2 linked regions of the Canis lupus familiaris genome follow. The protein of the gene in region 1 interacts with the protein of each later gene in a biochemical or structural test. Links are inferred from orthologs where the notes say so. Each region holds a gene or a part of one and is shown on either strand. Other genes may lie near its edges.

Region 1 (4,073 bases):
TTAGGGTCCAAATGCTTCAGACTCTGGAATAGACTGAACGTGTGTATGGGTACTGGGGGGGGGGGGGTTTCTGCGTGGAGCCTATAACCCAGCCCAATGAGAGGGCGCCCGAAAGCCCTGGGTGTAGTCAAGGTACCAGGCTGGGCCGGGGATTGCCACAGGGATCTCATAGACAGTTCTGCATCCCAACCAGAAGCCCAGCCCTGAACTCTGAGCTCTAATTAAACATTAAACCAGAGGACACCTTCTCTCTAGGCTTTAGTGCGAGGAGTTACGACAATGCTTTTCTTCCTTTCCCAAGTTCTTCATTTTCCTCTTCTCTGCTTCACCTTGAGCACAGCAGACATAAAAAGCAGCAGCCCATCCTGGGGCCTCCCACTGGAGACACGGAAGGGGACCCACACCCCAGTTGAAGTCCCCTTTGTCTCCACCCTGCCTCCCAGCAGCCTGAGATCCAGGTGTGCAGACCCACCCCCTCTCCCAGAAGCCCAGCCTCCCCAGCCAGGATCACAGGGGAAGAAAGAGGCAGATGGCTAAATATAACCAGTCCACACACACACCACCCCCGCCCCTGCCCCACGTGCGCACATACCCGCCTGGCGGCCCAGGCCTGGACAGCTGCACTAGGCCAGAGGCAGAGACAGACAACCTGGCGTGGTGGGGCTAGCCAGAGATCGCAGAGTCTACTCATCCCGTTTTCCGATCAATGTCCTCCCCAAAGAAAGACCTGCTGAGAAAGCTCGTCACAGGAATCAGCAGTGGGGGGATTTGGTCACTGAGCAGACTAATTTGACATAGATTCTCTGCCCCCGCCCCCATCTTGCCTCCTGTCTGTCCTGCTAGCTCAGTTGTTCCTATCACTACTGCAAAAAGACGGGAGTGATCTCCTTCCATGGTGTCTCCAAAAAGTCAGCCTGTCTGTGTGTACTGTCTCCACCTACTCTTCCCAAGGGGATGGGTACCCACGCCCACCGGGCCAGGGGCCTGGCCGGTGAAGGGCAGAAAGCTCACTGGACACATAGAGGCTCCCAGGAGAGCAAGAGTTTGGAGAAGAAGATTGAAAGGGGGGGAATGAGGGGACATCAAGCCACGGGGCCTCCTGTCCCAGGGATCTCAAACACCCTAGTGCTCTCTGGCTTGGGTGTTCATAGAGAAAGAGGTAACAGAGAAGAGGAAAACAAATTTTCAGGGGCCAGGAAAAGAGGGCCTGAACTTCCAGGATCCAGAGGCCTTTTTAGAAAGGAGGGTGGAGTCAAGTAGGGTGGGGTAGGGTGGGGCTGGGATGGGTGAGGTAGGAGGGGCCTCAAGCGGCCAACGGCTGGATTTCAAATATGTCACCTATTCCAGCAGTTTCATAAGGCGAAGATCAAAAAACCTTCAGTGGCTGAGTGGATGGGCCACAGCAAAGATTATTCAGATTTGGCCAGGAAATGAAAGTGGTTCACCCCAAGCAGACAGGCCAGGAGAAGCAGCCCCCAATGTCCAAGACACCAAGCAGAGGGCCAAGGGGGTGCACCAGACCTGGGTATAACACAACTTCCTGAGCCTGAGCCGGGAGCCTCTGCCCTCGGTCTCCCTCCCTCTCCTGCATTCCTGGGCCAAGAAGGCCAAGGGCTGTGGGAGCTGCGGGGGAGCGGAGCTCCTCAAGCTGTTTAGAGGGCCTGTCAGAGCCCAGGAAAGGTCCCAGACCTGCAAGTAGTGAGGGAGAGCTTCCCAACTCTTAGAATCCTGGAAAGAGTTGTGCCAAGGAGGTCCCCTCCACGTCCCTGCCTTGGTAACCTCTCTCCAGCACCACTGAACGCCCGCCAGCATGGGTGCTTATGCGTCCAGAGACAGTCTGGGCAAAGTTGGCACACTGCCAAGTCAGCCAAGAAAGTTTTAACAGGACCATTTCACCCATTTCAATGTGTCCTGAGTGTCCAGATTTCTTGAACTTAGCAGGGCCAGCCGTCCTCTGCCCAGGCCCCTGCCTTCAGCTCCAAAGGGCTGGCAGCCCCCACCCAGACAGACTGTGGGCCTACCATCAGTCCTTGCGTGGCCCCGATGACCCCACCGTTCCCTATATCCACCACCCTCTCCCAGAGACCCCTCCCTTCTCAGTCCTGTCTTGACAGTTTCCCTTGGCACTGCCAGTCACCCGCTGGGGCAGTTCCGGGGAGGGAGGGGACTGGAAGGCCGAGTTATGGGCCGGCTGCTGTGGGACCAGGGCGACTGTCCGCCCACCCTCTCCGGTCCCACCCCGCGCCACCACCTGGGCGCACTCACCGCGCTTTGAGCTCCTTGAACTCCTCCCGCACTTTGCTCAGCTCCAGCTGCAGGCGGGCGCGCTCCTTGGCCACCGAGTCGAGGGTCTTACGGGCATCCCCGAGCTCGGCCTCGTAGGCGGCCTTGATCCCGGACACCTCGCGGCTGACCACCTCCTCCGACTCGGTGATGCGAAGGCGCAGCCCCGCGTTCTCCGTCTCCAGAGAGCGCACACGGTCGATGTAGACCGCCAGGCGGTCATTGAGCTCCTGCAGGTCCTCCTTCTCCTGCAGCCGGGTGATGCGGGTGGGCGACAGCGGGGTGGAGCTGGCCTGCGCCCCGCTACGGGTGGCGCGCCGCTGGGACGGGGTCTCCATGGCCGGCAGGGTGGCAGGGCTGCCCGCGGGGCAGAGGTCCCGGAGAGGGCAGAGACCGCTCGGGGTGGGAGCGCGCGGGCCGGCGGGCTGTCGGCGGGCTCCTGGCAGGCGAGGGGTCTGGGTCGGGCGCTGTCGGACCTCGGGATCTGGGTGCGCGGCTGTGGCTGCGGCGCTCCCGCGGACACTCTGAGTCACCGACGCGGGGCAGCGGCTCTAATAGGTCTAGGGAGTGGGAGGAGGGGCCGCCGCTCTTAAAGGGGCCGCGCACGTCCGCAGCGGGAGGCGAGGGGGCGGTGGGGAAGGGCGAGCCCCGCGGGGCGGCGGCTTGAGTGGGGCTCCACCCCGCCCTGCGCACCCGCCGGGCCTGGGGCTTCTCCCTCCTGGATTCCGCCTGCTCCGGGCTCCCGGTCCAGCCCCGACGCTTGTCCCCTCGGACTCGGGCCTTCCTGTGTAGAAGAAGGCCGAGCCAAAGGGTGCGGGTGGGTGGGCAAAGGGCAGGAGGAAGAGAGAAAGCGCCAGGCCGGCAGATCCAGGAAAGGTGGGGGAGGGCTGAGGCTGGTGCCCATGGGGTGACTCACTCTCCTTCCACCGCTGGCTCCCCCTCTCCTTCCCATAGTAATAGTGAGTCACCCCTGCCCCCCTCCACATGTGGGCAGCCCATTCAAAGCAGCATCTCTGTGTGCCAGGGTGGGGTGGGGAAGGAATGCCTGGGCTCCCTGGGGAGCCAGGCTGCAGGGAGTTTCTGGGTCCTGAGTTCCTTTAGCCCTCGGTTTTGGGGCAGGGACCAGAAGTTTGAGGTCCCTCTTTTCCTGTCTTCTGTTCCAACTTCGCCCTTCAAAACCAAGCACTGGGTCTTAGGCCCAAGTGCCAAGCTACATGCCCCCACAGAAAGCCAAGAGTGGGACCCAGGCACTCACCCCATCCCTTGCCCCCTTCCTTCAGACTCAAGCAACTGGAAAAAGAGGCTGCCTTGGTTCCTCCCCTTTCTACTCCTTCTATCCCACCCTGCCAACTCCAAGACTGTACTTATTTTTTTTTTTTCCAGGACTGTACTTATTTTAATGGATAATTTAAAACAGATACCAGAGCTGTGCGTGCATTCATCACGTTGCCAGGACACCAGGTCCCAGATTCTTGTGGTTCCCAGAGGGGCCTGGAAGGGGGAGCATGGCAGGGGCTGGACAGCCAGTGGTGGGTCTCTGTCCTGGTTTCAACCAGAAAGGCAGTACTAGGGGGGCTGGGACAGCAAAGACCCCACAACCTTCCTGGCTGCAAAGGCCAGCCCTGCACTCATCTCTGCATCCCTCTCTGACCAGGTCTGCTTTGCCACTGGATCACCCAGATCCCCAGGTTTCCCCACCCCAGGCTCTGGAGCCTCTATCCTCAGCCCTTACCAAGGACTCCTCTGGTTTGTCTTCTACTGGCCCCCCATAATCCTGGCCCTGGCCCCAC
Region 2 (4,048 bases), on another chromosome or scaffold:
CCACATTCCCTGAGTTGGCTTCATTTAGAATATGATTGTCACCACCTTTCCAATCCCCCCAGAACAGCTCTTTGCGACCAAGGCCTTCACGAATTCCTAATGACAGTGCAGGCTCTCCACGGCCTTGCAACCTCGCGCGCTCACCCGCGAGTACGCCGGGGCCCCCTGTGCTCGGCTCACCCCGGGGCCCACCCAGGCCCAAGCGCGCAGAGCCGGCCCAGCAGGTCGTCGGGGGCTTGAAGGCTCCCCGCCCCCCCAGGCTGCCACGGGGACGCCCTGGACAGCAGAGGAAAGCCCCGACGCCCCAGGTGGCTGGCGCGGGGGTCGGGCGCACGCTGGCCGCCGCCCGCACGCCGGGCTCGGCCCCCTGCCAGCGCCCACGGGCACGCCCAGTGCCTTGCAAGGATGCCCGCTCCTGGGGTGCCCGCGGCCTCCTGGCCCAGTGCCCCATTTCCTCCCGGGCGCAGTGGGAGGGAGGGAGGGAGGGAGGGTGGGAGGCGCTGGGGACCTGCGGGACGACGGGCGCAGGTGGAGAGCGGAGCGGGGCGGGGTGGCACCGGGGGCCGAGGCGGCTGCTGCCCGGGCCTGGGCCCCGCGGCCCCGAGGGCCCGCTCTCGGGATCGGGGTCCCTTCGCGCTGCGGCGGAGGCGCGGCCGGCCCGGGGCGGCCGGGGAGCGCGGGGTGCGGAGGGGGCAGGGGGCTGCGGGGACCGTCGGAGCCCGCGTGACTCAGGGAGCGCGAGCCGCGCCCAGCGCGTCAGTCCTGCGCCGCTTTCCTGTCCTGGCCGGTTTCTGCCGGTTCGACTTGCGTAGGTCCCCACCCCCGCCCTCCCGACCCCGACACGCCAGCCGGTGACGCCTCGACCGCCCGCCCCGCCCCGCCCCCACGTCGCGGCGAGCCCACGCTCGTCCCCGCCCCCGCAAGCCCGACTCCTCGCTCGAGCCCCGCCCCTGCGCGCCAGCGCGTGACGCCCCTCGGCCGGCGGGCCCCGCCCCTCCGGAGCGCGGCCCCGCCCCGCCGCCGCCGCCAGCCTATCCCGCCCGCTTGCGACGTCTGACGTCATGACGCCCGCCCCGCCCGCTCCCACGGTCCCCCGCTCCGCGCCGGCGCCGCCGGCCCGGCCCCGCCCCGCCCCGCGCGCAGTCCGCAGAGCCCGCGGCCGTGACGCGAGCGTGACGCAGGCGTGACGCGAGCGCTGCCGCTCCCGAGACGCTCGCGCCGCCCCCGCCGTGCTCGGAGGCAGCGGTAGCTGGGCCCGCGTCGCCAGGCCCGGGCCCCCCCAGCTCCCCGCCGCCCGCCGCCCGCCAGGCCCGGGCCCCCGGGTCCCCGCCGCCCGCCATGGACGACTACGCGGTCCTGTCGGACGCCGAGCTGGCCGCCGTGCTGCGCCAGTACAACATCCCGCACGGGCCTGTCGTGGGTACGCGGCGGCGAGCGCGCCCCCTCCCCGCCCCCCCCCCGGGGTCCGGCCCGCGGCCCTGACGCCCCGCGTCCCGTGTCTGGCCAGGTTCCACTCGCAAGCTCTACGAAAAGAAGATCTTCGAGTACGAGACCCAGAGGCGGAGGCTGTCGCCCCCCAACTCGTCCGCCTTCAATTTCTCCTATCGGTTCTCGGGTGAGGCCCCCGCCCCGGATCTCCACCTGGCCTCCCAGGGGGACGGGGTTTGGGCGACGGGGGGCACGGGGTCCGGAGGGTGTGGCAGGGGCGGTGGCTGGGAGGGGCACAGGAAGAAGGGAGGGGAGCCGGGGGCAAATGGTCCCGCCCCCCCCCCCTCAGACTTAGATTCGGCATCCGTGGACTCGGATATGTACGATCTGCCCAAGAAAGAAGACGCCTTGCTTTACCAGAGCAAGGGTAAGGCTGGGCGGGCGGGGGGGGGGCACCCTGGGGGGGGCACCCTGTCACCCTTACCCCCTCCCTCAGGGAGCCTGGTGTTGGGGGGACCTGGGATCTCAAGCCCGTCATCCTCAGCAGCCCCAGAGGGGAGAGACGGTGCCACAGGCTCCCACGTGGGACTGAGATTAGGGCCAGGTGGGCGCAGCCACTGTGCACCTTGCTACCGCTCTCCCCCCCTTCCCAAGGCTACGGCGATGACTACTACGAGGAGAGCTACCTGAGCACCAGGACCTACGGGGACCCTGAGCCTGTGGGCTCCTCCAAGGGCTTCCGCCAGCCATCAGCTTCACTCGCAGATTCGGACACCTTTCACCACCAGGTGAGTTGGCTGCCGAGCACCTGCATACAACCTGTGGGGGTCATAGCTGGGCTTGGACAAAACCTGGACGGGGGGGGGGGGGGGGGGGGGCGCACGCGGTAGGCCCTGTGCTTCCCGAGAGGCAAGGTAAGTGCACACCTCCCTTGGCAGGGCCGTCCTTGGGGGAGTGTCAGACCTAACACTAGGGCACCTGGGACGCCGTGCACCCTGACCTGGGATCTAGGTTTGAGATCTTTCTCAGACCCCCCGGGGCAGAAAGTAAGGTGCAGGCGGCCAGGATACCTGTCGAGTTGTGGAGCGGGTGACAAAGCCCTACCGGGCTAAGGCTGGTAACTCAGGAGGGTTTTGGAGGGAACAGGGTCCGGGTGTTTCAGCTAGGCTAGTTTGCAGTGAGGACGGGACAGGCTACAGGCTGCTGACTCTGCTGGCCAGTTCCCCTCTCCCTGACTGTTACCTGCAGGTGCGCGATGACAGTCTCTTCTCTTCTGAAGAGGACAGCAAGGACAGGTGAGTGGCAGGAAGGGCCAGGCAGCGGGTGGTTCTGGGCGCAGGCCCCCTGGCTCACCTGCTGTCCTCTGCCTCAGGGAACGCTCCGGGTATGGCCGGGACAGCGCCTACCAGAACATCGTGCACTACCGCCCTGTTTCCAACATCTCCAGAAGCTCCCTGGGCCTGTCCTATTATCCCACACCCTCTTCCACCTCTCCCATATCCTCATCTTCATCTTCCCCCACTTCGTGGCTCACCCGTCGTGCTATCCGGCCAGAAAAGCAGGCCCCTGGGGCTGGTCTGGGCCAGGACCGCCAGGTCCCACTCTGGGGCCAGCTGCTCCTGTTCCTGGTCTTTGCTGCCTTCCTGCTCTTTGTTTACTACTCCATGCAGGCTGAGGATGGCAATCCCTTCTGGACGGAGCCCTGAGGGGCTGGCTTCGTGGCCAGCTGTTCCCGGAAGTCCTGGCTGACTGCCTTAGTAGTGTCTGCTGGGGGAGGGGGTGGGGGCTTTTCTGTGTGTTCTAGCTTCGGTGTGCTGGGCTTGGCCCAGGGCAGTGCTTGCTCCCCTGCCTCGTTCTGCCCAGGAGGTGGCAAGCCCAGGCCCTCCGCGGCATGGCGGGCCCGGGCAGGCCTTCCTCTGGAGTCTCCTGGTCCTGCTTGCCTCTGATCCAGGGCCCAGGAGGGTAAGACCCTTCTCCTGGAGAGGAGAACATGGTTGTTGTCATTGCATGCCTCCTGTCTGTTGTCACCTCGTCGGGGGGGATTAACCCAGGCCACCCTGACTTTGTTTTCGTGGACACAATAAAAAGACCATTTATTTTTAACGTGTGGGCTCTCTTTGCTGGGAAGGACTTGGGCTGGGAGCCTCCAGGCCTTGGGTCTCCACGAGCAACATCTGGCTTTGTTCGCTCTCCCTTCTTGCTTTGGGGTTGGGGTAGGGATCGCATGCTACCCACGGGCACGTTTGTGCTTTACTGGTAGGGTTTGCTCCCTGACTCGTGACCCAAAGCTGCTGTAACTAGGCAAAGAAGCGTGCCCCCACGGGATGCAGAGAGCTCCCCCATAAATGCAGGTGAGGGTGCGTGCACAGCACTGGCTACAGATGTTCCGACAGGGAGGAGCCGACAGCCGGCCTCAGTACCCAAGGGCAGGTGGACAGGGAGGAAATGCGGCGAGTGGCGGGCTCCTCCCGGGCGGCCGCTTGTCCGGGGGGGGGGAGAGGCCCACAGGATGCCGCATCACCCCTGTGTAAATCCCACCCCTCACCTGCCTATGTTCTTGCTTATCTCCAGGTTTTCTGTGCGGGAGGCGAGCACCTCCACCTGCAAAGTACACACGTAT

What was found. The genes of interacting proteins can lie anywhere in the genome.
Region 2: the proteins of LMNA (region 1) and EMD form a complex in vitro, tested with the Homo sapiens proteins (4 studies listed by BioGRID and IntAct, with this or other methods). The link is inferred for Canis lupus familiaris from reciprocal best matches to the Homo sapiens genes LMNA and EMD.

The regions. Positions count from the first base shown.
Region 1 is NC_049228.1:41,702,069-41,706,141, forward strand, and holds the start of LMNA (lamin), read right to left. Parts: upstream 2,834-4,073; 5' UTR 2,622-2,833; coding exon 2,266-2,621; intron 1-2,265.
Region 2 is NC_049260.1:123,237,306-123,241,353, reverse strand, and holds EMD (emerin), read left to right. Parts: upstream 1-1,249; 5' UTR 1,250-1,338; coding exon 1,339-1,420; intron 1,421-1,507; coding exon 1,508-1,615; intron 1,616-1,777; coding exon 1,778-1,855; intron 1,856-2,082; coding exon 2,083-2,216; intron 2,217-2,649; coding exon 2,650-2,723; intron 2,724-2,800; coding exon 2,801-3,134; 3' UTR 3,135-3,531; downstream 3,532-4,048. Other genes in the region: collagen alpha-1(I) chain-like, read left to right, coding at 107-466, 529-855. UniProt on the Homo sapiens protein: Stabilizes and promotes the formation of a nuclear actin cortical network. Stimulates actin polymerization in vitro by binding and stabilizing the pointed end of growing filaments. Inhibits beta-catenin activity by preventing its accumulation in the nucleus.